Astyanax mexicanus: one gene and its partners. The main gene of each other region encodes a partner of the protein of the gene in region 4 in a complex. Links are inferred from orthologs where the notes say so. Each region holds a gene or a part of one and is shown on either strand. Other genes may lie near its edges.

The links.
Region 1: nup98 (region 4) and nup153 share a complex: the UniProt entries of both Homo sapiens proteins name them as parts of the nuclear pore complex. The link is inferred for Astyanax mexicanus from reciprocal best matches to the Homo sapiens genes NUP98 and NUP153.
Region 2: nup98 (region 4) and cetn3 share a complex: the UniProt entries of both Homo sapiens proteins name them as parts of the nuclear pore complex. The link is inferred for Astyanax mexicanus from reciprocal best matches to the Homo sapiens genes NUP98 and CETN3.
Region 3: nup98 (region 4) and nup160 share a complex: the UniProt entries of both Homo sapiens proteins name them as parts of the nuclear pore complex. The link is inferred for Astyanax mexicanus from reciprocal best matches to the Homo sapiens genes NUP98 and NUP160.

Annotation. Positions count from the first base shown.
Region 1 is NC_064410.1:52,285,142-52,292,880, forward strand, and holds the start of nup153 (nuclear pore complex protein Nup153), read right to left. Parts: upstream 3,019-7,739; 5' UTR 2,913-3,018; coding exon 2,835-2,912; intron 1-2,834. UniProt on the Homo sapiens protein: Component of the nuclear pore complex (NPC), a complex required for the trafficking across the nuclear envelope. Functions as a scaffolding element in the nuclear phase of the NPC essential for normal nucleocytoplasmic transport of proteins and mRNAs.
Region 2 is NC_064427.1:165,832-173,335, forward strand, and holds cetn3 (centrin-3), read right to left. Parts: upstream 2,836-7,504; 5' UTR 2,702-2,835; coding exon 2,685-2,701; intron 1,950-2,684; coding exon 1,814-1,949; intron 1,704-1,813; coding exon 1,589-1,703; intron 1,388-1,588; coding exon 1,196-1,387; intron 1,033-1,195; coding exon 989-1,032; 3' UTR 518-988; downstream 1-517. UniProt on the Homo sapiens protein: Plays a fundamental role in microtubule-organizing center structure and function. As a component of the TREX-2 complex, involved in the export of mRNAs to the cytoplasm through the nuclear pores.
Region 3 is NC_064417.1:10,773,337-10,781,332, reverse strand, and holds the start of nup160 (nuclear pore complex protein Nup160), read right to left. Parts: upstream 3,020-7,996; coding exon 2,903-3,019; intron 1-2,902. UniProt on the Homo sapiens protein: Functions as a component of the nuclear pore complex (NPC). Involved in poly(A)+ RNA transport.
Region 4 is NC_064424.1:13,491,131-13,499,017, forward strand, and holds the start of nup98 (nuclear pore complex protein Nup98-Nup96), read right to left. Parts: upstream 3,014-7,887; 5' UTR 2,833-3,013; intron 486-2,832; 5' UTR 458-485; coding exon 379-457; intron 1-378. Other genes in the region: nsrp1 (nuclear speckle splicing regulatory protein 1), read right to left, coding at 6,737-7,505, 7,822-7,887. UniProt on the Homo sapiens protein: Plays a role in the nuclear pore complex (NPC) assembly and/or maintenance. NUP98 and NUP96 are involved in the bidirectional transport across the NPC. May anchor NUP153 and TPR to the NPC.

The DNA of each region.
Region 1 (7,739 bases), on a different chromosome or scaffold from region 4:
CAACAAAAATATATTTGACTCACTTACACCTAAATATACGATTTGTTTGAATACAATTTTAAAATCAAAGAACTTGTTTACCCATATGATAAATCTTTATTTAATGGCTCCCACACTAATGTAAAAATCCCAGACTCTACATAGGTAGTTACCTATATTTTAAGAGCAAACAAGATGTTCCCAGTCATTAGGGTATATTACACTAAAATGTTTTAAATAAGGGGTGAAATTATCATCCCTATGTTTGCAAACGCTACTTGTACCTGGGTGCAAATAGTCACTTCCAGGAGCTAAAACATGCTTGTTTTTATTTAATTATACAATTAACTAGTTGACTGACTATATCTGCAACTCAATTTAAACTCACAATCACCTTCACTGTCCCAGGAGGATTGTAGCTACAGAACTGAAGAAAAGGCGATGTGTGAGAAAATGGATTTTAACGCACAGTCGTTTAAGAAACATTGTAAAATTACCTATATTAGCTAGTTGAGAGGCTAAATCTCAGTGTGGCGCATGTTGGCAGGAGACCACATGCGTTTCTGAGGATAACGGAGGTTCAGCTAGAGACTCCTAACGCTCAACACGACTGGAAAACACGCAGTAACACAAACATACAGCATTTTTATTTTCTGTATTTACTGTAAAAACGCAATGCCTAGTTTCCAGACGCATTCTAGCCCCGTAAAGATGTACAGGGAGAGTGCAAGGCGGGAGAGAGCAAACCCGAGTCAACATGGTTGACTACTACACAAAGTGCTAAGCTAACTAGCCTGGCTAGCTAATGCTGTTGAGGTCCATGTGCGGGCCCTGGCCGCCTTCCAGCCGGAACGCAGCTACGCCAGAGCGGCAAACAGAGGGAGATGTGTCTGCTTCACACTTTTAGCCAGCTATCTTACCGTCTTATCCCACCATACACGTGTTAATTAATCTTACAGAAGGCATTGTTTTAGCTGCAGTTGCTGTCACACAACCGCAAACTTGCTAGTTAGCTAGACTGCTAGCTAGCCTAAATGTGAGTTCAGGGAGAGTCAGTTTATGCAGAGCATGCCCACTCCCCATCTCCTCCGCTAGATCAGAAAATTACTTCAAACCGCTAGAAGGAGCCCACGAGGGAGTCCTCAATGAATGGGGGTAAATGGAGCTAAACAGCTCAACACTCAAAGTAAAAATTGTTTAACAACTGATCCAAGATATTCCATTAATTTAAAAGAGTAAGAAAGAATTTTGCTTAAACAATAATCAAAGACAACCAAGCTATACCTTTTCATATTTGTACAAGTTTTAAACACTAAAGGTGCTAGCATTTCTGCTACTGTGTGCAGAGAGACCTTTTGGTGAGCAAAGAACTTAATATTCATTGGAGGGCACCACAGCTATGCTACCATTATTTTAATTGACTAATAAAATATAACCACAGTAGTATAAACGATTGAAACATCAATGTATGCATTGTCATTTGAAAACAAGACATTGTGATCAAGGTTTCTAAAAAAACAACTTTGTTTTAATTTAAACTGAACTAATTGAAACTGATATTTTATACTACTCAAAAACTTTAAAACTCGTTAGCTATAAACGATATGGTCCCACTCCATCTCCTGTTCTCTGTGTCCAGATTTGTTCTAAAATAAAAATATACAAATATACTAAGTAATATTATTATTAACTAAGTAAGAATAATTTACATCTAAACATCATTAGCTATGTTTGGGTGCATTTTGAAAGTCCCTGTATACTGCAGGGGACATGGGGTTTGCCAGTTCAATTTTGACATTTAAGACTATTAATAAAACTTCTATTTCTGCTCCACACAATCAACACTTAAGGAAAAAAGAAAAACTAAACTAACTGAACTTACGTTTTACTCTATATTTTTGCAACTAGTAACAAAAGAATGTTGAGTAACACAATCAGATTTTAGTTACAAGATGCAAAAAATAAAACTTTTATTGACCTTTGAGTTCAAGAAAGGGGGCAAAATGAAAAAATAGAAGATTAGAAACGTTGATATCCTATTTTTCTTCAATATACAAAAAGGAGAACATTAAAAATACCCCGCAATTTCTGACTAATCTGCACCCCAAAAATAGTTAACAAATTAGCAAACCTAACAGTTTTTTTTTCAGCAACCCTAAGTTATTACAGTCTTGTAAAAAAAAAAGTCTTGTGTGGAGTTTAAAAGATTATAATTTTGATTTAGTCTCCGCTACTGAAACGATTAATATCGCTATGTTTTGAAAAACAAGTACTTTTCAGAATATTAAATCAGTATAAACGATTAACGATTTACTGAACTAAGATTTCCCCATGTAAAACCATTCATTGGGCTCTGGCAAACCCGGAAAACACGCTAAAGTGGGCAGTCTCTTCTCTACAGACTCTGCGGTTTAGTTACACACTAGCTAGCGCTGTGGTGACGCTCATACTAACGGCTAATGCTAGTTAGCTAGCTAGGCTAATTAGCATTAGCAGCTAACTAGTTCTCAAACTAGCTACACATTTCGATGTAAAACGGCTATTTATTGGAATTTAGCCGCTCTCTGAAACTACACTTCACCCCGCGTCACACTTCTCTTCACACCGCCGCCCACCAAACCACACACTGCTCCCCCCAAAGAGCTGACAAACAAGCCGAAGCTCATCTAACATTCCCCCGCCGAGCCCGGAACTCAAAGCCCAGGCCTCGCCAGGCAGCCGAGTCTCTAGGCCGCGAAAAACCGTCTCTACTAAACAAAACAAAAAACCCGAAGCCAGCTACGAACCCGCTGGAGCAGCGCGGCACAACACGCTCACAACAGCTCCCCCGTACCGGAGACAGGCTGTCTAGTTACCTGTTTGCCTTTGGCATAAGGTTTAGAAGCGATATGGTATCTCCTTGTTCTAATTTTCCCTCCTCCGGTGGCCGCCATGGCTGAGTGAAGTTTGCGCGCTGACCGCCTCGCGCTCAGAGCGCTCTTCTGTCAGCTCAGCGCGCGCACTCTCACGCGCACACACCAATAACGACGCACGCACACACACTTTACCTCACAGCACACACACACTGGAGATTGCTGGGAAACTGAGTTAAGCGGTAACGTACTTTAAAAAGAAACACACACGCACGTCATTCCCACTGTGTAAAAACATTTAGTACAACGTAGAACTGTGTATAAATGTTTGTGACTTTAAACTAACTCAGAAAACCTCTTATTGTAAATTTTAATGGTATATTTAACACAGTTAAATGAGTTAAAAGTTCAAATTAAAATTTAAAATTAAATTTTGTACAAAAGTTTGTACACCTTCTCATTTAGTGTATTTATTTATTTATTCACACATTGTAAATGGTCCAGACTATCATCCACACTATAAGGAGACACAAGAAACCATAGTAAACAAAGGGAGTCCTCAATGAATTGGGTAAATCGAGCTAAACAGCTAAAAACTCAAAGTAAAAAACCTATCTAATTACTCATTCAGGATTTTCCATTAATTTCAAAAGACAGAAGACAGAATTTTGCTAAAATAGCAAAAAGCAACTATATCTAGCTATATCTTTCCATTTTTCTACAGGTTTTAAACACTAAAAGTGATAGAATAGAACTGTGTGCAGAGACCTGTTGGTGAGCTGTTGTTGGAGCCAAGAACTGGAATTTGGAAGGAAGCAAATCTATGGTACCATTATTTTAAGTAACTAATAAAATTATAACCATAATGGATTAAAAGAATAAAACATTTATGCATTGTCATTTAAAAACAAATCAAGACATTGTGATCAAGGTTTCTAAAAAAAAAAAAACTCAAAAACTTTAAAACTCGTTAGCTATACACAATATGGTCCCAATCTATCTCCTATCTAAAATAAAAATATACCAATATATTAAGTAGAATAATTTACATTTGAACATCAGTAGCTATGTTTGGGGGCCTTTTGAACGTGCCTGTATATTAGAGGGTATATGGGTTTGCCAGTTCAATTTTGACATTTAAGACTAAATTCGAAAAAAAAAAAAAAAACATACCCCATTTAGTATAGAGAAGATTTTAATTTAAAAGTCTACAGTACCAGTCAAAAGTTTGTACACACCTTCTCATTCAGTGTTTTTATTAATTTATTCACACATTTACACACGCAGTTAAAAGTGCTAAACAAACCAATATACTCTTTAAAGCATATAGTTTGCTCTTGGTGCTGTTAACTTGTGATTTGCTTTCAAAGTTCTTGACATTTTTCATATTGACTGACCTTCATTTCTTAAAGTAATTTTCCTTTACTTAGTTGATTAGTTCTTTCCTCAAATAGGGCTATTGACTGTATACCAACCATACTTAAGAGACAAGAAATTCAAGGATTTAACTCTGGACAAGTTCAGCACAGCTGTTAACTGAAAGCCATTCCAGGTAAAAAAAAAAACAAACCCATTAAGCTGACTACCCCTAAAAATGACAAGATGTGCAAAGCATGTCATGTAAGCAGGAAGAGCTACTTTGAATAATCTAAAATATTGAAAATATACTGGTTTGTTCACTTTGTTTGTTGACCTTACTATTAATGTACAATGCAGAAAATTCAGAAATTACTTAATTGCAGTTGTAGCTGCTAAGGGTGGAACAACCAGTTTTTAGGTTTAGGGGGCAAACATTTTTTCACACAGGGCCATGTAGATTTGGATTTTTTTTCTCCCTTAATAATAAAAACCTTAATTTAATTTTGTATACTTGTGTTGTTTTGAATTAGTTTGTTAATCTGAAACATTTAAGAGTGACAAACATGCAAAAAAATAAGAAATCATAAAGAAAACACCTTTTCACACCAGTGTATTTATTTGCAAATTAACTAGCTCATGGTTGCAATTTTAAATTTCACAAATGTATTTTCTACAGTCTTCAAATACTAATTAGGGTGCATTACAATGACTTTTCTACAGTCATAGGTTAATAACTGTACGTCAGTATAGTCAATATTACTGTACTTTAAGCAGTAGTGTTGTTGAAAAGTGCATAGTGATATGTTAAATGGAATAATAGAAATGCTCAGACTTGGAATCAGTTCTTTTTATATTGAATTTCCCTGATTAACTACCACAAGTTAATAATGTTGACTATCCTTCTGCTGTTATTATTTGAGAAGTACAGTCTAATCAACTAGCCAAACAAACAATATATTTCATCAAACCCTTACACTTTCCCAATTAAGTAAAAATCTCAATCAACCTGTAGAACATATATTTACAAATATCTGATGTTTTTTCAGGTATAAGGTATTTTTTGGATTAACACTGACGAAAGATTTATTTAACTTTATCAGTCTAAATAGAGCACTCATCTGGCTTCTCTACATGCTCTGTAGCATAAATTTCACAGGTAAGATTTACTTCTTACTTCTTATTTGTTTTTATTACTCTCAGAGTTCTCTTGCACTCTTTATGTAGTCGCTCAAACATCTGCACATTGTCACATGAGTGATTTTAACATTTAACATTTTAAAAGTCCAAGAATTTAAACAAATCCTCATTTAAAAATGTTTTATTTATTTTTTTCAAAAACAAAGATTTGGTATTTTGTGTATTTCTGTATGCTGCTGCTGTCCAATAAAAACCACATACCCCCATTTTTAGTTTTCTTCCCCGTTTGAACCTTTTAGCTGATCTGTACACTGAGTATATAACTCTGGATGGATTGATCAATAGAAATGCTTGAGAATTTCTTGGAAAAAACTAATTTGACAAAGACATTTTTATTTATTTATTTATTTATTTATTTGCACCAATAAAAACAATAAACACAAACTGGAAATAGCAATAAACAAAATAGTGCAGGTAGAGGCAAAAAATGCCTCTACCTAAATGATATCAAAATCTATTATAACAAATATAACATCAAAACAAACAAACAAAACAAACAAAAAAAAAAATCACAATTTAAACATGTAACAAAAAAATATATTCACAATACATTCATCAGATGATCTTTTAAACATCTTTTGTTTTACATAATGTTTTACAGATGTACATTTTTTTGCCAAATGATTAAAATTATTCCACAGTTTTGTCCCCCTATATCTTATTGAATACTGACCTCTACAAGAGAGAAATTTAGGAAGATGGAGATCTAAAGACTGACGGGTTGAATACTTATGTATTTCTGCATTTGTAATAAAATAATTTATAAATTGTTCTGGAAAATTTTCCTGATTCGAATAAATTTTAAAAATAAAGATACATATTTGGAATATATTAATATTATAAATAGAGAGAATTTGAAGTTTCTGAAATAAAGGAGCAGATGAAGTGTTTAGATGTGATCGTGTTGCAATACGGACAAATCGTTTCTGAAGAACCAGAATTTTACTAAGACTAGTAGAATATGTACTCCCCCAAACTATATTACAATATGAAAGATATGGATAAATAAGACTATAATAAAGAGTAAGAAGACATTTTGTGTTAACCAGATAACTAACCCTCCTTATTATACCAATAGATTTATTTATTTTTCTACTAACCCAGTCTATTTGCTCTTTCCAACTTAAGTTTTCATCAATAATGATTCCCCAAAACTTAGAACTTGACACTTTAGGCAACACCATAGATTCCATTGTAATTTTTGATAAGCTTTTAGAATACATTTTTCTTCCACTAAAAATTATATAATTTGACTTTTTTATATTTAAAACAAGTTTATTTAATTTAAACCAGGTTACATAAGCAGCTAAACCAGTATTTGCATCCTTAATCAATGTATCAAAATTTGAATGGCTATTTATTAGAGTTACATCATCTGCAAACATTATTGGGGAAAAATTGGGGAAACATTAGACAAGTCATTAATATAAATAAGAAATAACAATGGTCCTAGAATAGAACCCTGTGGGACACCACAAAGCAATTCAGCTCTACTAGAATAACAACCATTTACACAAACAAACTGCCTTCTATCTGAGATATAGCTTTTTAAAAGATTATATGTAGTATCCTGAAAACCATATTTATGTAACTTTTCTAATAATATATGATGGTTAACTGTATCAAATGCCTTTGAAAGGTCTAAAAAAATACTACAAACAAATTTACTTTTTTCTAGTGCAGAGGTAATTTTGTCAGTCAGATGAAGCAGAGCCATATAAGTAGAATGATGTTTTCCGAAAACCATACTGATGTTTGTAAAAAAAACTGAATTAGAATCTAAATGAAAAATAATCCTTTTATATATTATTTTTTCTAATATTTTTGAAAAACATGGCAAAATTGATATAGGTCTATAATTTTTAAAACAACATGGGTTATCTGCTTTAAACATTGGAATAACTTTGGCAACTTTTAAATCTGATGGCACAATACCAGTTTTTAAAGATAATGAAAAAATATAAGCTAGTGGCTGCAATATTTCATGCTTCACCTGTTTAACAAGAAATGCAGAAATATTGTCATGACCAGCTGAAGATATCTTTAATTCATCAATTATATCACTTATTTCTTGGATATCAACAGATTTAAAAGAAGATATAACAGGAAAAGTTCTGGTTATAAAGTCCAGTGGGTTACCATAACAATAGGGAATGTTATTTACTAATTCACAACCAATATTTGCATTAAATATTTGCATATTTAAACTGTTAAAATGATTAGCAATATCAGATGGATTATTGAAATGATTTTCACCATCTGACATAACTGATGGTACCTCTATAGCAGCTTTCTTCCTTTGTAACATCTGATTTATCACTTTCCATGTTGCTTTAGTATCTTGTGAATTAA
Region 2 (7,504 bases), on a different chromosome or scaffold from region 4:
AGATGGATAGACAGACAGAATAATAGATTGATTAATTAATTGTTAGACTGGTTAGTCTGTAAGATATTGGGACTCAAGTCAGGCCCATTCTATACTCAGGGGCAGGAAGTGATGTCGGGCTGCAGGAAGTCAGGTGAGGCCAATAGGGTGAGACTCTGTGCAGGTGACACTACAGCGGGCGATCTGACCCTTCAATATTTTCTGCTTCTTTTTATTAGAGTTCTGATTAAAGTTTTATAATGTAATATGTGATGTTATTTGTTATGTTATTAATGTGATGGGTGACCTGTAGTTGAGAGTAAATGAGGACAGTAATGTAATGAACACGGGAGAGTCGCCCCCTGCTGGAAACTAATGAAACATCTGCTATTTATTATTATTTAACCGTATGATCACTTTAATCACTTCATATGAACATAATACTAAATCACACTGATGTATTTTTTACACCACAAAATAAAGCTAATAGTGAGTAAACAGAATACCTCACTGTACAGAACAGGACAATGCTAATCAATTAACCTACAAAACTTTATTCAAGAACACAGAGCAGATTTTACTGTACATAAAAAATGGGGGAAAAAATTATGTTTAATTTATGAAATTCTAAAAAATATGTATAGACAAAAACACTGCACTGCCTTATAAATAAACAAAATACAAATAATGTACTATTTACTGTCTGACTGTTACACTCCTGCAGTAAACAAATACACAAAACATCAATCAGAACCACTGAAATCACCGTTCAGATCTATCCCATAATTCCTTTACCTGCTGAAAAACAATGCAGACAGTATTTACTATGATTTATAGTCCTGTATCTACAAAACAAGATAATCTAATATAAACTAATCACAGTAATAAAATGATTTATTTCATTATATACAAATAGAAAACTGAACAATCCCAGAAAACAGGAAATCTGAACCAAAACACTGAGATAAAAAACATCATCTCAGTCAGTCATCATCTCAACAGCAGCTCTTCAGGAATCTCCCGTCATTATAGAGACAAACTCCTCCTGATTAACTGCAGAGAGAGAGAGACAGTTAACGCTCTTACAGATTTATTCATAATTCATTATTTGTCAGAAGGTCTTTAATAATAACAGAACAGACCTGTCTGTCTGTCCGTCTGTCTTTTAGAAGGAAGTAAAAGTGCAGATTTTCAGTGTAAATATGTAAATACTCACTCTCTCCGTCTCCGTCGGTGTCGAACTCGTCGATCATGGCTCTCAGCTCCTCGTCGCTCATGTCCTCCCCCAGCTCTCGCGCGACTCGCCTCAGATTCCTCAGACTGATCTTCCCCGACTCGTCATCATCAAACAGCTTAAACGCCTTCAGGATCTCCTCCTTAGGATCTCGCTCCAGGATCCTGTCTGTCACTGAGAAACGCCCACAACCCCAATAAATTACCATAAATACAAACAAAAATACTAAATATACAAAAACCAGAATAAACTACTGTAAACACAAAATAATAATTATACATGACGATCGTGAATTGTCCTTCTGAACTGAGGCGAGAAGGCTCCGCCCACATATCCCCCAGATAAATGTGTTACTCTCACAAAACATGAACTCACCAACTTCTCTAAAATCTTCAAACGTTATTTTTCCGGTTCCTTCTCGATCATAATCTTTTAGGATTTTCAGCACATCCACCTTCTTCACCTCGAAGCCCAGAGCTCTCATAGCCACCTGCTCACAAACGTAAACCATATTAACCATGTTCTGATATATTTAATATGTTTCAGGAATAACAGAGATAATAAACTGGACTAGAAGATGAAGATAAATAAATTTCTCACCTTCAGTTCATGATAATCGATTTCTTTATCTTTATCTGTGTCGAACAGTTCAAACGCTTCCTTTATCTCATCCTTCTGCTCTTCAGTCAGTTCTCTCCTCTTCTTGCGCTTCGTTTTATCAGCGGGTAGTTCAGTCCTGCAGGAGATTACAGCTCAGAATTAAACTCGTATTAAAAAGTCAAAGCTTTTTGTAATTAATGCCATTATTCAATTTGGGTAAATATAATATTCATATGTGTAATGGTAAAATGACCTATTTCATTTGTTTATGTGTGATTAATTTCATTAAAAGTGTGTCACATATAAGGAACCCTAAAATAAAAACAAAGAAAAAAGTCTGTTAATAGTCAAATTTTTTCACATTTTACACAGTAATTTGTGTAAATTAAAGTAATAATTATTGAGTGTTTTTCTTTCTGAGAAACCAGTAAATTAATCTGATTAACAGAATTAACACACAGCTAATATCGGCCTTTAACACAAATTAAACACAGCTTTATATTTATTAATCAAAATCAGATGCAGTAAATTTAACTGATATAAACTCAGATTATCTTGTAAAATTCAGATTATTATTAAACTCAGACTAAAAGCTTTAATATCAGATAATCAGATACAGCTCTGATCTAACAGTGTGATTTACTTTAACACATTTATTATATATTAATATAATTTATAAACACAGATTTCACCATTAGCACAAGCTGCAGCATTAGCATTAGCTCAGTAGCATTAGCATTAGCTGCAGCATTAGCATTAGCATTAGCTCAGTAGCATTAGCAGGGATTAGTTATCAGGGTTTAAATCGGCTGAATGAATTAAAGATCCGTTTCCCGCGGATTCAGTGAGACCCAGAGTTCATCAGCGTTACCTGATCGACAAGCTCATCTCCCTGGATCGATAATATGATCAGATTAATCAGCGGATTTATAAATTTAGTTTAATTCAGGAGGCTTTAGGGAGCTAGCTGCAGCTCTATTCCCACCATCCGGGTTACTAGGCTACAAACACTGTGATGTCATCGCGACGCTACGCTGTGATTGGTCTGTTAAGTTAACCTCCTCAACAGTTGCAGTTATGATGTTATATAGATACAATACATTTATATATTCATACAAGTTCTTCATAACAGAAACGTTAATTTTGTTTTATCTATTATATCTGTATCTAATATATAACTAAAATAAATGTATAGAATAAATATAAGAGAAGAAAACGATTGCGGGACACGTATATAATTCTGTAGTAAACAGTAAAAAATAATTTATTTTTTACATAGTTTTTTATTTAGTTATTGCTCCACATTAATCCCCTGATCTAAACCTGATGAACTGAGAGTAATTTAATTGGGATGAGCTGGAGCTTATTATTAAAATAATTCAGCATGTTTTCCTGTAGAGCTTTATAGTCTTTAATATGAAATGAAATGTTTAATATAAAAAAAATCACAGTAATAATGTTTTGTTGTAGTAAATTAGTCTTGTGGTTAAAGCTATAAAATCAGACCGAACTGTAATTTCAGTTTATGAATAATCATGTCCATCAGATCTAATGCAGTTTACACTAATGACCACTGGGGAGCGCCATAAACCTAAAGATAATATCTGACCAATAGAGAGATAGAACACACATAATAAAAACAGCCTGTATTTCTTTATATATGACAAACATTTCAAATTGTATTTATTTAGACAGATTAATACGATAAATAGAAATGTGTAAAAATATGCATTATTCCAACAGTCAGTGCAGTGATTAATAAAACAGTATTCAGGAGGTGAAGATAACAGCAGATACTGAGAACACAAAAAAACAAAGCTTTAGTGATCCTTTATTTATTACAAATTATTTCAATTTTTTCCCATTTTCTCCTAAATTTACACGGACAAATACCCAACCCACTCATTAGGACTCCCCCCACCTATCACTAGTGATGCTCCAACGCCAGGAGGGTTAAGAAGACCAGCACACGCCTCCTCCGATACATGTGAAGTCAGACCTCGCCTCTTTTTGAGCTGCTGCTGATGCTGTAGCATTGCCGAGTAGCATCACAGTGCTAACGCTCGGAGGAAAACGCAGCAACTTGTTTCTGATACATCAGCTCACAGACGCAGCCTTGTGCTGATCCACATCACCCTAGGAGTACTGAGGGGAAAGAGAGAGCGCTACTGTGCTCTTTTAGGGCTCCGGCAGCTGATGGCAAGCTACATGAGCGGGATTCAAACCAGCGATCTCCTAGACCGTTGGACCACTTGGAGCCCACAGCTTTAGTAATCCTACACGATTCCTACAATCTGAAAACAGCCCTCAGATTCTGTGTTTTTGTGTTTATTTTGTGTTAATTATGTAAATGATTTAATTAATAACAGTTCTGATGACTTTATTCTACAGTGTAATTCGCTGGTGGAAGCTGTGGGATGATGGGAGGGAGGGAGGGGGATGATCCAGTGGGGGGTTGTGGGAGTAGACCTGATGCTCTGGTTTTTGTTGTCCTGCTGGGAGGTGAAGGGGGCGGGGTCAGAGGTTATGTAAATGAGAGGAGTGTTGCTACAGCTGGACTTCAGTATTTCTTCAGTTACACTAAAAATACAGCATAAATATAAACACAGCCGTCCACCTGCTGCAGCTCCCGCCCCCGTCCCCTCCCACTGATCTACAGCACAAATACATTATTATTATATGTAAATATCTAATCTTCACTTATATTTAAATACACTGACCGGCCAAAACTCATGGGACAGCAGTGTGCAGTTCATGTTCATGAAGAGTTTTCCTTTTTAGCTCCACATGGGATATGCCATAAGTCATGGAACACAAGTTATGTTTCTGTCCCATGACTTTTGGCATGTCAGGGAAAATGTTACACAGCTATGTTTGTATATGATTAAAATAATATGTTTGAATATACATCACATACATATGTTGCAATAAGTGACACATTTATGTTGGCTATGTAATATAATAATATTCTCTATTATCATAATTATAACCATATAATGTTCTATAAAATAATGACTCTATATTCAAATATACTATATGTGGGGGGGAGATATTTTTTTATATTTAGAGAGTAGAAACAGAACCAGCCTCTCTCTCTCTCTCTCTCTCTCTTTCTCTGTGTTTCTCTCTCTCTCTCTGTGTTTCTCTCTCTCTCTCTGTTTCTCTCTCTCTCTCTCTCTCTCTCTGTTTCTCTCTCTCTCTCTCTCTCTCTCTCTCTCTGTTTCTCTCTCTCTCTCTTTCTCTCTCTCTCTGTTTCTCTCTCTCTCTCTTTCTCTGTCTCTCTCTCTCTCTTTCTCTGTCTCTCTCTCTCTCTCTGTGTTTCTCTCTCTCTCTCTCTCTCTGTCTCTCTCTCTCTCTCTGACTCAGACTGAGGTAAACAGCGTGTTTAACACTGAGGTTCTAGACTGAGCTTGGTTCCCCCGGCGGCGCTGGTCGGGTCGGGTCGGATCGGTCGTGACGTCAGGGTCTGGTTTACAGGTATTTGTAACTCAGGTGGAAGTTTTTACAATCCGGTGAGGAGAGGAAACTGCTGACGCTCCCCGCCGGACCCAGGGTCACCCGTCCCATCATTAACGGCACCGTGTGGATCTTTACACCCAGAAACTGCTGAACCACCAGCACACACACATTAGTCATGGCGGCCGGACTGAACCCTGATCTGCCCTGATAAAATATTTGGTATAGTGGTGCTGAGGATCCGGGGGGTTGGGTTCCCTCCAGCCGGCTGTTCTCAGACCAGTTCAGACTGATCCTGTTTATGGGAGGAACAGTAGCTGATCTGAGATAAACAACAGGAGGGAGAGTTCCGGTCTGAACCCCGACCAGAACCAGAACACCGGGCCCACAGTTCTGCTACAGAGTCCGATACTGTTCTCACATAATACAGATAAAGAAACTGACCGGTCATCATCATCATCATCATCATCATCATCATCATGTCCTGCAGTGATATACTAAATTTTACTTGCTAATTTTTCAGTGTAAAGCTGATGTTACTGTAGGAGCTGGAATGTAAGAGATGCAGGTTGGGTACTCCTGTCTGTCACGCCTCCTCGGTGGGGGCGTGGCTTGTCCGCTGACTCAGCAGAACCGGATCCAGGGTGTTGTGTATCGGGTCTGACCCCTCTGGCAGCACCGCGAGCTACACTAACAGCTCAGACCCGAACTGAACCGGCCCGGTCCGCCCGGTCCAGCCGTCTCCCGTTACACAGCCAACCCCCCCCCCTCCCCCCCCCCACCCCCCACCTCTAGAGATGTGATCTTTGGTTACAGTTACGAAAGTGTTCTTCACCCATTTATAGATCAGTTACATCAGTTATATTAGTTCTATTACATAATACTGAATATACTGCATTTCTACACTCAGACTGAACCTGCTGACTGATGCTGTAAATACTGACACTGCTCTGCTACAGTAACTTACTGTACATTAATACACTAAACAGAAATAACCCTGTAAATCAGCTAAATGAGGTAAATGTAACTGATGTAATTTAAACTATTGTAAATCTAAATATAGAGATTTTAACAACTGTTTCAACAAACTGCCCAAAACTGTCATCTTTATTTAAAGTTGTGTTATAAATGAGAAACCTGATGTGCTGTGGACTCAAACCGCATCATCTTTATAGAAGAGTGATTCATGTGGAACTGCCTGTCCAGGGCTGTTCCGGATCAGAACCACCAGAAACACCAGAGTCTGAGCTCCTTCAGTCACTCAGAACAAAAACCTCCTTGTGTTCAGTCTGATCCTCAGGTAAACTCACCTCTACAGGGTGGAGGAACGCAAGTAAAGCCCCTTATTCTGCTCAGAGAAACATTACCTGGTCCTATAAACCACATCCTGTGTGTAAAAAAGCACCATAATGTATATAATTCCCTCAATAAACCTCACAAGCTGGTAAAACTTCATCCAAAAAGTTAAAACATCAACTTGTGTAAATACTCTGAATTACTTCATCAATAGTTACAAACAATGGTTAATTATTTATTGCACCAAACAAACTTTAAATAAAACAATAATAATACTAATTCAGTAGAAAAGCTTATTTATTTAACTGACAACAGAACATTGATCTTGGCATAATATACATACATCCATACTACAAAATTATATATAAAAGTCAGCAACATACAAAATATACAAAACTGTAAAAAGACTCACAAACAAACAAATACATATATTGCACCTTTTCTAGAATTTTAAGAGAAGCTTAAATCAGGTTAGACCCTTTTTTCAGCCCCTGAAGCAGGAAGTGAGGTAGCATAGACACGAGTCAATATCCGATAGCTATGCACCCGCAGGACTGAACGTACGTCTGATTACCACACGCATTAAATACTCAACATTATCTTTCTTCAACATCATCACTTCATCTTTATCCTCCTGGAATTGCATTAATATCAGAGTGTGAAGAGGAAGAGTTCTGATACGCTGAAATTCGCTCACTTTCATCAAACATAATAAAAAGGAAGGAAATCTCTCGAACAGGAAAATGCAAACACAACACACAGCGCATCCAATCAAATCCCATCAGGAGGAGAAAAACTGCAGCACAAAATCTGAACTGTTCATCATGTGTTGTATGAAGGCCACAGAATTCAAAACAATGTGATAAAAAAAGAGTTAATCTGCATATTATTCTGCCCCACAGGTCTCAGTTTCTTCTGAAATAAACTGCTAAACTGACT
Region 3 (7,996 bases), on a different chromosome or scaffold from region 4:
TAGCTAAACCTGATTCTTTAACTATGACTTAATTTACCCTGAACTGGTTATTTTTTTGGTTTAATGTCAAAATGAGTGAGGGGTAGCGTTAGTCCAGCCATAGCTCTTTAGAATAGCCTGCTTAGCTAGCTAGCTAAACAATATCCTACTGTGGGGAACCTGATCTTACAGGCGTGTACACTTGCATGCTTAGCTGGACTGTATTTGGCATTTCACGTTCATGTTAACAATAATTTTATGTCTGATTTGATATTACAGATTAACGGTGGAAACAAAAGTAAGGTTAAAAATACTTTATGAAATAGTGTTTCTTTAAGACACTGGCTGGCATGCGAAAGTTTATAAAGTATGCTGTGCCCACCTTATTTGCCTGGAAAGATCAGTGAAGCCTGTCAGGAGGGCTGTAGTTAGACATACTGCAGGGTATTTTTCACCAGTCACTAAATTATTTACTAACTAGCTAGCAAACTAGCTAACACATGAGTTTTTATACAGCAAACAAAGGCGATTACCTAGCTTCCACATCATGAACCTAACAATTAATCCAGTTTCTGGAGCCTTTTATTGAAACAACCCAGGGAAATCTTGCACTCATTTTCGGACTATTTCTGATTTCACCGTTAATTCAGGGAGGTGTGCAGGGTTAGTTGTCCACACAGGCGCTGCCATTTAAACTGCTGGCTCCGTTGCTACCTTGGAATTTCCGGTTTAGGAGCGAACCCACAGCCCTTCTTTTGTTTCAACATGGCCGCAGAGTGAGTAAGGTGCATTGGTTTGTAGAATTGTAGTAAAGAGATGGAGCGTTCCTTTGTCAGGTGTTGTGATGAATTCTAGCTCTTTGTCAGAATCTGACTCCTCCTCACATCCTTTCAGCACAGCACCAATTGTTTTTTTCTGGTTTGTTTACAGTCTGCCTTATCTTCCTGTTTTTGGTCTGAAAGTCCAAACCATCTAGAAAAGTGTTCATATTGCAGACAATCCGGACCATGGTTAAGATGGCCACATCTTTTGCATCTTTTGATTGAACAAAACTTTGTGGCTTATGCTCCCTCACCCATTACTTGTTGAGCTAAGTGTGAATGCACCCTAAATACAGTATTGGGACTAGTGGTGCGAATCTCTCAGTGACTGGCGATTCGATTCAATTCGATTCCGATTTTTGGGGTCACAATTCGAAATTCAGAAACGATTTTCGATTCTTGAACGATTTTTTTATTCAAATGGCCTATACATTTTGTGTAAATTATGTGAGAAGATAAAAAGATGAAAGGACAATTAAAAAAAATAGAAGTTTTTTTTAAAACAATAAACTTAGGATCCTTACTGTATTAAATCTTTTTGCAACATACCGTACTGCGGAGCTCATCTACTGTTGCACAAAGCTTTTTAACTGTACCGCGGAGCTCACCTACTGTTGAACGGAGCTTTTTAACTGTACCGCAGAGCTTTTTAACTGTACCGCGGAGCTCACCTACTGTCGAACGGAGCTTTTTAACTGTACCGCGGAGCTTTTTAACTGTACCGCGGAGCTTTTTAACTGTACCGCGGAGCTCACCTACTGTCGAACAGAGCTTTTTAACTGTACCGCGGAGCTTTTTAACTGTACCGCGGAGCTCACCTACTGTCGAACGGAGCTTTTTAACTGTACCGCGGAGCTTTTTAACTGTACCGGGGAGCTCACCTACTGTCGAACGGAGCTTTTTAACTGTACCGCGGAGCTTTTTTACGGTACCGCGGAGCTGACATACTGTCGCGCTGAGGTTTTTAACTGTACCGCGGAGCTCACCTACTGTCGAACGGAGCTTTTTAACTGTACCGTGGAGCTTTTTAACTGTACCGCGGAGCTCACCTACTGTCGAACGGAGCTTTTTAACTGTACCGCGGAGCTCACCTACTGTCGAACGGAGCTTTTTAACTGTACCGCGGAGCTTTTTTACGGTACCGCGGAGCTGACATACTGTCGCGCTGAGGTTTTTAACTGTACCGCGGAGCTCACCTACTGTCGAACGGAGCTTTTTAACTGTACCGCGGAGCTTTTTAACTGTACCGCGGAGCTCACCTACTGTCGAACGGAGCTTTTTAACTGTACCGCGGAGCTTTTTAACGGTACCGCGGAGCTGACATACTGTCGCGCTGAGGTTTTTAACTGTACCGCGGAGCTGACCTACTGTCGTGTGGAGCTTTTAAACTGTATCGCGAAGCTGACATACTGTCATGCGGAGCTTTTTAACTGTACCGCGGAGCTCACCTACTGTCGCTTCACCCCCAAAACATTTTTTTGAAAACGAGAAACGATTCTGAATCGTTCAATGTTGGAATCGCAATTCGAGCTCGAAACGATTTTTTACTGCACCACTAATTGGGACATTAGGTTATTTGTTGTCTCTTTAAAAAACAAGTGTATTAAATAAGAGTTCATCTTTTTGTTGGATGAACTGATTTGATTGTATTTAATGACGAGTGTTGTTAAGGTCAGAAGGATGCAGGCTCACCCCAACTCATGACAAAAGTATAATCATCACTGCAGTGCTTCTTTCATTTACATTTTCATTTATATACATCCATTTCTGCATTTCAGGCCTGCAACACATTACAAAGAAAGTTGGGACAATCCAATTTGGGTCTAATAATGAGGTAATAATAATATAATTAAACCCAGGAGAAATTCTGGTGTTAAAGGGCAAGACCACAAGCTTAAGCTTTAATCATTAAATACACAATGCCACTTTACTTTGCAAAGCAGTCTGCTCCAAAAGTTTTGGAACCAGTCCCTTTATTTCTGCTGTAGACTAAAAAATTTGAGGTTGACATTAAACATTGGGATTCCAGTGTCCTCTTTAGCAAGTAAAATGCATGCAGTTTGGAGATTGAATATGTCAATCTAAAACCTTTCACTACTTGCCTGCCGGCAGCTATTTTGCATAGCATATTTGTCACTGTGCTGTGATGAGGACAGGTCGTACTGATGCGGGTAGTTTCGCATTTGCTCACACAGCTGCTCCTTAAAACTTTTTGCCATTTAGGACCTGCTGAGTGTTGCACTGCCTCCTAGTGGTTGTGTGTGTACTGCACCTCCTGAACGCATCACATTAATTTCTGAAGATGCTCAAAACCATCGCTCCAAGCGAACGCAGAATATGTGAGGCAGCCATCATGTGTATACATTAGAGATGGGATGATCGATCGGCGGTGTATCGGTATCGGCCGATTTTCAGCCAAAATACGGTTTCTGCGTATATTCCTCAGATTTTAGCCGATCCGATTCAGGAGTTTAAGGTTAAGCAGTTAAGCAGTGCTGTGTGTGGTTGGGTGGTGAAACTGCTCGCTTACTAGTCGGAGCTGCAGCAGCAGCACAAACCCCGCTCTCTTCACTCAGTCAGAGCTACAGACCAGCCACGGGCTACAGAGCTCAGCCAGTCTGGAGTTTTTTTCAGTTTTCTTAAGATCATCTCTGTAGGAAATAAAGGTTTTAATCCCACTAACCAGATTATACAGCTCTCTACAGTCCATCTTTCTGCCCAACCAGTGAGCTCACAAACTAACAGCAGCAGTTTAGAGCATCCGTCACGGAGTCACTGCTCGGATTACATTATAAATTAGTGCGCTGCTCACCTCAGGATGTTTATAACTACGGAGTTTAGTGGACACGCCGCCAGGTTAGACTGTTGAAGGCTACTGAAGACTATTAAAGGCTATTGGAGGTTATTGAAAGGGTTATTGGGGGCAGAAATCAGTAAAGGCTGGTTAGATAAGTAATTCACGTCTTCGCCCCTCGCTGCGGTGAAACTGTGACTAGCGCTGTCACTGTGATGTTTATTAACATCATTAAAACAGATTTTGTTCTTTCCAACTATTTGTGAATTTAGTTAAAAGCTCTGTTTTATTGCTGTAATGTTACTTACTAAGAATATGGAGTTTAAATCAGGTCTGTGCTCTTAATTACAGTTTATGAGGGCAGACAGAGTCAGGCTGGATTTTTTTTCCCAATCTAAGCTCTAGCTGGAGCGATGGATTACTGTTGTTCTTGTTAAAATATTGTATTATTATCTATATATTAACAGTAAGTGAGATATTTTAAGCAGTAAGCTGACAAAACAGGCTGAGGCGGCTGATGTTGGGAGACACATTCCTGCGGTATTGAAGTATAAATATAAAAATTTTGGTGTCTTTTAAATATTTACACATTACTTGTTTCTCTCCTGAAAAGTGTTTATTTTGGTCAGTAACACTCTTGTGTTTATTTACTATCAGCGTAAATTACCAGTGTTTGCTTAGGTAATATTAGGGGAATCTGTACCAGGTTTGCCTGGCACCTGTGTGGCATTAATGTGGCATTTGCCTCCGCCCAATATGGGTATCAGCGATCGGCGATTGGAATCGGCCCCAGAAACGCTTATCGGTCCATTTCTAGTATACATAAAAATAACAGCAAGTATATCTCTATAGCCGAAGCCTTATGTGGACCATGTTCAGAAGCGTGTTGACTACTCTGGGCTGAGAGGCATCTGGGATGGTCAGGGGAAACAATTTAAAATCTTTTCTTGAAGAAATTATCTGGACAAAAGGATACAAAAAATATGATTTAGATGATGTAATGAAATGTAATTATTCTGACAAGGGTACTGCAGTCCTGACCTGTCCTCAATAGAAAAACGTGTGTAGAATAAAAAAAAAAAAAGAAAATACGAAAATTGTCCTGTGCTGTTACACACCTTAAGGCATGTTTACAACTGTGCTTAATCCTTAGAAACTGACCCATTTATAAATCAATTATGTAAATTAAAACCATATTAGTTGGAACTGTATGAGGCACTGAATCATTTTCTAAGGAATCAAGAGTTGAAAGAAAATGAAAGAGACTCAAACCCTTGACATACATGTTTGTTAATGAGCGCCACAAGCTCAACACTCTCAGTTCCTTTATTTAACACGCACGCACGCACACACACACACACACACACGCACTTACTTACTTACTTATGCTGTGTAAACATTTTAAAAAGTTAAAAGTGGTGTTATGAAACAGGGTAGGATGAGAGTCGGCTAAAGTAATGCACTCATCATGCCTAGTGCCTACTGTACAAGCCTGTGCTATGATCTGGGGTTGATGATGTTGTTGGTCAGATTTAGTTTCAACAACAGTATGTGCTGAAAGAATGAGGTCAGCTGACTGCCTGAATATACTGAATATAGACCAGGTTATTCCATCAATGGATTTTTTCTTCCCTGATAGCACGGGCATATTCCAAGATGACAATGCCAGGATTTATCAGGCTGGAATTGTAAAAGAGTGATTCAGGCTGAAATAAACTTTTAAAATTTTATACCACATAATATGTAAAAAATTAAATAGCTTTCTTGGAACTCATTGTGGAGAGATGTGGACAGTTGTCAAAGTAGGGGATTTCACTTCAACAAGGCTTTCTAGCAGCTCAACACCGTAACACTGTTACACGAGTTAAACAGAACAAAGTAAATTGCGTTATTATAATAATTTAAAATATCAGTGTTTATTTCCAGACCATCATTAGAGAGAGCTGTGTGGGCAGAATATGCCACGCCTGATTAGTGAGGCCATTCATTATTCTCTGTTGATATTAGACTTTCCCAGTATTAGCCTCTCTCTGCCTCAACCAAGAAAGGAGGAATATATAATTTTTTTCAACATGAGAAACATTTTGTACACTTTGTCTGCAAGATTAACCTAATTACAGCGATTTAGTCCCCTGCTTTAACCTCGACTGCAGCACTATGTTGATCCTCAAGCAGGAAGAATAAAACAGGTTAAGAAATGTGCATAGGCATGCATGCAAGTGTGTGTTTGTGCTTGTATCAGCAGTTTGATGATTTAAAGATTTCATTTTAATTTAAAATGGTAATTCAGGTAAAACTCTAATCACAGCCCAAACATAGTTAATCAGAAAATAATTCTGGAGAAAATAATACTATATTAACCATAACTATGCTGGGCACAGATATAATTTAATCCGTCTGTGCAGTGAGCACACCAGTGAGTACCCTTAAAACACACACGCGGTGATTAGAGCTTAGATTGGGCCCAAAAAATAGACCTATTATTTAATAAAAATGTTTATTAAAAACAGCTGCACAGCCCTACAAGTCAAAGGCGGACAAGTGGAGAAGCTTGCGTGTGCCCAGAGCTGCGTGATTATGACGTTCTAACTGGTGCAACTTTTTTAAAACAATTTGATTTGTTACTTACAAGGTTATAAATGTTTAGAATTTTTCGTTGTAGTTTAATTTTATTTTGTTTCCAATTCCGTTAGTTTTAATTAGTTTTTAGAGTGGGGTTTGCTATTTTTTATTAGTTTTTACACATCACACCAGAGAGATCAATCTGAGAAACACATAAACAAACTCAAAAAATCAATAAACTTTACAGGTTTCACTAATTTTTCAAAATGATCAACTATGAGTGAGTGCGAGAGAGAGAGAGTGAAAGAGAGAGAGATTTATCAGTTCATCCTCCCACGTGGGGTGTTGTGGTGTATGAGCTACTCACAGGTAAAGATACTCTCAGCTGCTTCTCAAATGTACTTTAGCTGTGTGGAGTTTATTCCATATACTCTATCTCCTGTTTCTCTACGAAACATCTGCTTTTATCTCCCTCACGCTCATATTCTAATCCCATACTGAATTCTGCAGTTTCCTGTTGTTTCCTGATGTCAGGGTTAACGTAAGCGCTGTAAACAAGAACTAACGCCATGGACCGCGAGGTGCCGCGCGCTGCCAAAATTTGCCTCCTGCAGAATCCGGCTTCCCTTCGCGAACAGAATAGCCCCAACACCGCCCGTGGTAAAACTGCTGAAGTGGAAACAATGCTTATGAATACACAAAAAACAAAGGGTATTCTATCAGTAATTCCAATTCATTTTAGTCAGTTTTATAAAAACACAGTACAGTTTCAGTTAGTTAGCTTTTTTTCTTTAATTACTGTTTTTATTAGTTTCAGTTAACTAGAATATTTTTTTCATTTCAGTTTTTGTTATTTTTCATAATTTTTCATTTGGTTACTTAGCTATATTGTGATAATCACGCCAGAGCTTTATATTAAAAAATAGCATTAAAAAAACAGATGCCTACGTCTCAGACTATTTTCTGGAGCCCGACCCGACCCGGCCTGAGAAAAGTGGTGGGATATCTCAGGCCGACCCAGCGCGGGCAGAGAAACTAAACTCTAACAGTGATACAGTGAGCACACAAACCTGGAGCAGTGGGCTGCCATCATATTGCCAAGAATATTGTTTTAGGTCATTATTGCATACCCCTAAATGTTCTGAAAACATTTATAAACATTGATTTAACTGATACAAATATACACTGATATATAACATTTAAGTATTATTAATATGTCTGAAAAATGTTTTGATAATGTGCCAATGTAGTTATCATATTGTTGCTGCAACAGTGTACCCAGAGAATTTAACAAACTAAAGATTTTAAGAATCAAAGTCGAGTTGATAACATTCAGAAAATGTTTTTAGTAGCTATGAGGACAAGGCTTAAAATTGGACAATACACATAGATAGCCAGTCGATTCTTCCGTCTGTAATAATGATCAAACGTTTACTGTGTCACCCAGTTCTGTGACTTTCAGTAACTCAAGTTAGACGCAGTTTCTGTTTTCTATAAACATGAACTAAAGGCACAGTTCCAGTCTGATCTAACTGCTGTGTTGAGCTGTGTGGTCTGCTTTAGTTTGTGGGAAATCGGTAATATTTTGCTGAATAGTTTTTCTGAGGGTTGACCGTTGAATCAGCTGGAAAAAGCAGAAGCTGCTCACTCTCAGTATTCTTAGTTATTTCATTTCAGATAAAGTTTCAGAAGTAAAGCAGCTCTCTTTCTTTTTGTCTTCTCTCTCTCTCTCTCTCTCTCTCACTCACACACACACACACACACACACACACACACACACACACACACACACACACACACCCTGAGAGGAGTTTTGAAATCAGAGCTCACTGAAGATCCT
Region 4 (7,887 bases):
TAAATGTTTCAATGTTATAAAAAGGTAATCTTTAAAACAACCTATTCTGCTGGATACAATTGACATCATAATTGGACACAATCTTTGCATGAATCTTAGTGTGTGGCATTTATTCATGAAAAATCCTATAGAATAGCAGCTGTCATGACTAAAGGATATCCAAAGACAAATAAAGTAATGCAATCAGTCATTATGTGAGAACTCTTGTGCTTTTAACATTAGACTTATTCATTTTCAAACATTTGGTTGGGGGAAAAAGGCAAACTACATAGTTTTTACTCTGGTTGCTAGCAACTTGGTGCTAACCACATTTTTTTCAACATAGAGAAGAAATCCAGACACTCACAGTAAAGATATTTAATTACACAGTTTACTTACTTTGTTGTCCAAACGTGGATGATGTCCCAAATCCTCCTGTTCCTCCCCCGAAGGGAGCACCAAATGATTTGTTAAACATCTTGGACTGCTATACACCCTGCATATGTCTGCCACAAATAACAGCAGTGTGATAAAAGGTCAGTTTTTGTATTGTGATCAAACATGCAGCTTATTATTCAACTCAGTACACAACTCATCTGTGCTCAAAACATCAGAAAGTAAGGAGAGTATAAGAGGATAACTTAAGGCTACTTAACAGCAGAGGAAGATTTTACTTTCATTTCTCAAATCATCACATGAAACCTTACATAGCTATTATCACATTGTCAGAAAATGCACTGTAGCATTCAAAGCCTGCTTGGCTGTTACATTCCTAATTAAAAGCACTGGTTATCTGGCATCAGAATAACACAATAGTAGGTAGTCTGAGCAACTGGGTGGGCAGTACAGTAATATTTTTATCATACTATTTTTATCATACTTTTGTTAAAAAAATAAATTTTCTGAGCATACTGTGGGTTTAAGTGCTTGCAGAATACTAACCAACTGACCAACATTTATTACAGTGTGTGTAAATAGATATGTTTAATAGGAAACGTCCAGCGAATTTAAAATGAAACTATATCACCATACTACCGATGAAACAGTGTTTAAAACAGTGTTTGAACAGAATAGAGTTTGAATAGAGTCTTCTGCAATGACGCCTTTGTTTTTGGGTCAAAATATAACAATAAACATCGTTTATAACTTATTGTAGGGGTGCGGACACTTTTTTCTACTCTGCAAACATAACCATTTTTCGCTGCGTGATTTAAAAGGAACAATTACGGTCTCATTATTTTAATTGGCATCGCTACCAAAATTTATACCAAGTAATTGATATCTGCCAGAAATAATTTACTTTACTTTACAAAGTGCATTGAGCAATGTTTCATTATTAATGATTGTCAATTCTGTACATTTCCGAGGAAATATCACAATAAATATCACAGAGTAAAAGAATATTAAAATGTCCCTAAAAGCTCAGAAAGACACAGCATAAGCCATGACGACCTAAACATCACCAATTATCAAATTAATAAAAAATAGATAGAAAATAAATTGCACGATTGCTAATTAATATACAAATGTCGCTGTAAAGAAGGTCACAATAATAGAACAGTCCTAACTTTTCTTTGTTTGGATAATATTTAGGGATATCAGAAGCCATTGTTTCCATTACATTAAATGTATTTTTTTTAAATATACATATTTTACGAACAGTAAGCAGCCCCAATTCAACCCTACATGCAGCTTTTATATTAAACTCTAAACTGTATTTCAGTTAAGAAAAAGTGTAAAACATGAAAATCGCTGCAATATCATTTTTTAACAGGTTTCTGGCAGAAATAAATGTATATCTAATTAGATTTTCTCTGCTATATGTAAAGTCTTAAAATCTCAAATATTCCATTTTGAAAATGCTATTAAAACAGTATTAAACAGTACATAATTTGATTAACCTTTCAGCCCTAGAACACACAATAACTAAATATATTACGTTAGTAGTTACATCACAGTAGGAAATATATACATAAAATGTATAATGATAAACATCTTGTATAATGAAAACGTCTTTAAATATCGTAAAACAATATATTTTATAATAGTGGTCACCCCTACATTTCAGCAACTGGTCGCAAACTTTAGTCAGATAATCCTGAGCGCCAGAAACAGGCCTAGCTAATGTTGGAAACGGGCCCGTGTGTAGCTAAAATAGCTATCTAGTCAGTAAACATGGAACGCATGCTTTTAGATACATAAACAACACGTGAAAAACACACCCTGCTAGTTTGTAACCAGTCTGGTTCAGTAAAACTCGCTGTGTGACCGGATTTATCCTGAGAAAACCAGTGTGTTCAAACATGCGCCGACCAGAGGCAGTTCTCTGCTGGCTTAAGCTAGTTACATTGTTTTCGTTAACACTAACTCTTAGCTAGCTACAGTAATGCTCGTAATTTAATGTTTGTGGCGTTTCTTAACTGTTTAAATCACATAAAAACAGGTTAACATGAAAATTAACGTAAACAGAGGAGAAAACATGAAGCTACACACAGCGCCAGAGGCTCCCACATCATGTGCGTGAACACTGGCCGCCGCTACTGAAGAGGCTAACGCTAGTTAGCCAGCTAGCTAGCTTTTAGCTTAACGAGCTGTAACAACTCCAGTTATAAACAACAAAACACTGCCCCGCTTTACACACAAATTATAAACAAACACGCGCCGAATACTCAGCAGAACCCATTTTCAGCTGTAAACTACACTCATGTTGCGCAACTTTTGAACTGTACACACAGCTGAAGCGGCAGCAGGCTAACTATTCAGCTAGTCTAGGTTTAGCTTAGCTTGCTAAGCCGTTAGCATCGGAGTTTCAGAAAACCAGCTCAGCTACAACAGTTCTCCTCACACACTCACCGCGCACACACAGCGGCTCAGAACGTCTCAGCGGGATCTGCTAGCGCTTCTCTCAGGGTCTTCAAATTTCGCTCTCAGCCAAACTCCGCCGTTCCCTCAGATTCCAGGCATTTGTGTGAGTTGAGAAACACACTGTGTGGAAGGAGGGAAACGACAGGCGAAGCTAAAGCAGTACAAACCTACGTCAGACCCGCACATCAGCGGACGTCACCACCCCGCTTCTGTCATTTTCTCCACACATCCAAAATAAATACATTTATTTTTTATAATGACGATTCTTTGAGATAATAAAAAGAATGAATGTTTTAAAGTGGACTTCTCTTAGTTTATTTGAGATACAACACATAAAAGGAACCATCCACACTTTTGTTCCTACTGTAAAATGTTATATTCATAAATACATCTTTAATTCGCAATTTCTTTAGATGAAGTAAATAAATCATAAAACATTAGCCCCCCCATTATTATTATTATTATTATTATTATTATTATTATTATTATTATTATTATTATTATTATTATTATTATTATTATTATTATAGTTATTATATTAAGTTATATATGTTTTGTAGTCAACTAAGTGGCGTAATGCTCCAACGATTTGGTGGTTGTAATAAACACAAAAAGATGCTTTTAATAATCAGATATGCATAAACAGGCTTATTAGATTTGAACAATACTATCTATCATTACTAACATTTATATTTTGTTATAATACATAATAGTATATGGTTAATTATATCATATTAAATACTGTATGCTCTGCAATGCTGTCCACAATAATTTCGATTTTTAAATGTCCCATTGTGCTTTTACATCAGTACATTTTTCTAGATGTATATATTTTTGTAGTTTTAAATGCTAGAACGTATTATATATATATATATATATATATATATATATATATATATATATATATATATATATATATATATATATATATATATATATTGATTTCAATGGATTTAAAAATAGCCTTTTATAATTACATTGTTTATTTTAGAACATAAATAAATTAAAGGTGAATGTCTAAATATACCGTAGGTTATACCGTAGTTTGTTTTTATTATAATTTTATTTTATATAAATGTCTTACTTCTAATACTTTTTGCTGTGTGTAATGCCTGATCTTTGAATAAGTATTTTGTACGTAATTTCTATGTAATACGTATTTATAATATAAGAATGTGTACATTAAAATAAAGTAAAATAAAATTAACTAAAAAATCCCGTATATCCGGTGTTACGGAGTAGATCTGTGTGCTTCGCAGCGGAACATGAGCAGAACGTCACCAGGCGGCTCGGATATAACTGGAAGGACGACGCCATTCAGTCTTTCTCATACGGCTCCGAGAGGAAGAGTGTAGTGCAGAGATGGCTAAAGTCTGTATAAGCAAACACCATGGGTGTGTTTCCAGTTTTTACGCATTAATGGAGAAATATCTCACTCGACAATGGCTTTCGATGGGCGCGAGTTGAGATAATTTGTGCTTACTACATTAGTTAAAACCTAGTTACTGAAGAGTTCAGGAGAACCACGTGGCTGAAGGAGGCACGATGCGGCACAAGGTAACGTTACACATTCTTCACATATATAATCGATAATGAATATCGATACTGATACTTTTCTGTAGTTCTGAACGCGGTTACAGAAGTGCTATGGTATCTTAACTTCTGTTTTAAATGTGTTTCCTATAGGTATGGTGCTGCAGCCCTGCATCTCACAATAAACTATGTCCAAATCCACCACAGTGCAGGGCGGAAAGGAACAACTGAGGCTTGAGCCTTATTATTAAAAGGTGAGAAACGTTAATTCGTAAATTAGTGTTTTTTCACGTCTCTGTGAAGAAAACTTTGAGTAGGAAGTGCCGTCTTATGCGATAACTGACGATTTCATTTATTCAAATAATCTGAGAGACCTTAACCTAATAATGTAACCCTTTAGTCACTAGTACTAGTTAATGTTTACCATTTCACCCTTTCATTCACTGCAGGCAGAACCTCCTTCCACGTGCTGGAAGAAACAATTGCTCGTTACTACATGAGTTAATAAGGTAAGTCGTTTTTTGGCTAAAAGATTTGGTTAATTATGGAGGTTATGTTAATAGTATGTCCACAGTTCACTTGCAGGTTGCAGAATTTACTATTAAACATGCCATCTACATGTGCACTTTTATATATGTTATTAAAGATTTAATTATTTGTTTAATGCCTGATATGTAATTTTATTTTTCCCCACTTTTTAATGCAGTCTTTCTATCACTTTTACTGCTGTAGTTACATCCCTGCCCCCCTGTGGGATTTAAGCATTCTTGGTAGTAAAGAAATTAAATCGAGATTCATTTAGTTAGTAAACAAATGTAGTCCTGATATGGTGTAATGATGAAACCTAAACTGAAATAGCTGGAATTACCGGCAGAAGGTTCAGTGGTGATCATCGGTTTTCTGAACACACAATAGCCACTTGCAGACTTTAAGGTAAAAGTATGTGATCTCAATCTAACAACTTGTTAATTTTTACAGGGACCATGTGATCCAAGGATTCAAGAAGATTTTAAGTAAGGCGGGGTGAGTACACTGCTAACCCTGTTCTGTTAAATGCCTCATGTTAACTTGTGATGAAAACAAAACTGAGAGTAGCTGGAATTACCGGCAGATTGTTCAGTGGTGATACTCGGTTTTCTGAAGTTTTAAGAAATTTTAATTAACTGTTAAATTTGGTTTCTGTACTTGGTTTTAATTTTTTTTTCCATCTTCCACTCAGGCACTGGACAAAGCAGTAAAAGCTGTTGAGCGGAAGAACGTGAAAATCAAACCTGCAACAGTACATGTGTGGCATGCGGAATAAAATTTTTAATTAAATAAACTTGTTAACCTGACCATTGGTGTGTCTCTTCATCTTGAAGGTTTAAGCTTTTCCATGAATTTTAGTATTTTCCAGAGCAAATACAATGATTACTTGATGAGGTTTTTCATTACTTTTATATGCTATAATTCAGTAAAAGGAAAAAAAAACTTCTAAACTTCATTCTAAACAGTCAGTAGCACACCAAATTTAACTTGTTTAATCAGGTGGGCAGTCATTAAACTGCATCTGCTTGGCTGAAAAACCTGTGCAGCCACACCAGCTCTGTGTAGGCAAGGTTTTAAATGGTGTAGATTCAAGGAAGAAACAAGGAATTGAACCGGTACAATAACACCTGTGGCCAAAATGAAAAGTTCCTTGCAGATTAGAATAGCACCCCTACAAATTTGCCTGAGAAATACCTCAACCTTCCTTACTCTGGTGGATTTTTTTTAAAGGAAGGGTGAAAATAATGGTGTGCCTTAAGGTTTCATTACTTCAGGGGGGAATATGCTGGTCTATTGCAGTTTAAGGACTTGGTCACATAGCTAAGAAAACCCAAGGGAAATTAACAATGGGCAGATACTGGTCCAGTTTCTTTTTATCAAGCTGCAAAGAAGTTGTATAGCATAAATCTAGGGAAGTCTGACCCTCCACATCCAGTAATGTGACTAATGCTCATATGCGCATTAAGGCAAATGAACTACATTGTGCACCTGTACAAAAATGTACATTTTTTTAGATCAAACTTTATAGCTGGTGAATAGCAGCACATCAGTAGTATTTTGACACCAACTTGACAGCGTTTACATGAACATTTAACAGGGTAAAAGTGTGGTTTCTTTACTTCTGTCCCTGTGAATTAGACCAAGTCTCTGACAAAAAAAAAACTGAATTTTAGCGAAAATGAACCACATACTTTTTTTTAATAAGCACAAACAAGTTACTGTACAATTTGAAATTAAATGGCAACTACAGTGGAAACATGACTTCCCTCAGGTTAGTCTAGTTACCAACATCCACCATATGTGAAACAGTCCCTGCACAGTTGTGTGCATTTTAGTCTTCATCTTTTTCAATGTAGGACTTTGCAGCCGATCGAGCCATCTGTCGAGCCAAATATCTTTCCCGGGCAGAGCTCACAGTCTGTTCACTGTTGCGTTTTGCAAATTTGCTGGGACCTGGTTCTGCCTCAACTTCAGCACCACCTTCAGCTTGTGCATCCTTTTCTTTCGTCTTCTCATCTGCTTGGGTATTTTCTTCCTTCTCTTTTCCTGCATCCCTTTTGCCCTTGTCATCTGTTTTGTGGTGGTCTCTCTCATTGTGTCTGTCCCGATCCCTCCCTTTTTCTTCATTTCGTTCATGTGCTCGCTCTTTTGGGCTGCTGTCTGTTCTGTGTTTCTTCCCATGCTTGTCTTCTTTGTCTCTCTCCCTGTCCCTGTCTCTTCGCTCTCTTCCTCTGTCTTCATCCCTTCGTTCTCGTCCTTTCTCTTCCTCCCTGTCCCAATGTCGGCCCCTTTCTCCTCTGTGGTCCTTGTCTTCTTTGCGATGACCATGCTTGTCCTCTCTTGCTCTGTCCCTCTCTTTTTCTTTGTGTCTCCTCTTCTCCTTCTCTTGTTTCCTTTCCTTCTCTTGTTCATCGCCACTGGCTGAGGAAGGAGACCTCTGTCGGTAGTGCCTCTTGGAGTGGCTGCTGTTGCTGCTTGTCTTGCTGAACTCTGATTTTGAAGTCTTCTGGTCATCATCGCTGTGGCGTTCGTCTTCACTGTCATTTTCTTGTGGTGGGGAGTCCACAACTGGGGACTTCTGCTCCTTGGGTTTCTCTGCCCTGGGACATACATTAGTATGGCATGTTGTAGTAAGTTTTACAGTTTTTGTGTGATTTCAAGTGTAAAAAGTTAAGTGCCAAAAAAATACAGAAGAGATCCTTTTCACCCCAACTACACAAATGTAACGAACTCAGAATTCAGGATTGGTCTCTTTACAGTTTGAACTTTAACAGTGCATTAACCAATAAAGCAATAAAGAGATGTTCAGTGCCTAGAACAGTATTACATGTTATTAACCTACTACATACAATTAAAGCTAATTTAGCTTTAACTTTCACTAGTGATGACACTAGATGTTCACTGTCCATATCTCACCTTTCAGCACTCCGATCAGGAACAGCCTCCTCCCCCACTGTCTGATTTAAAAGATGCCTGTAAAAT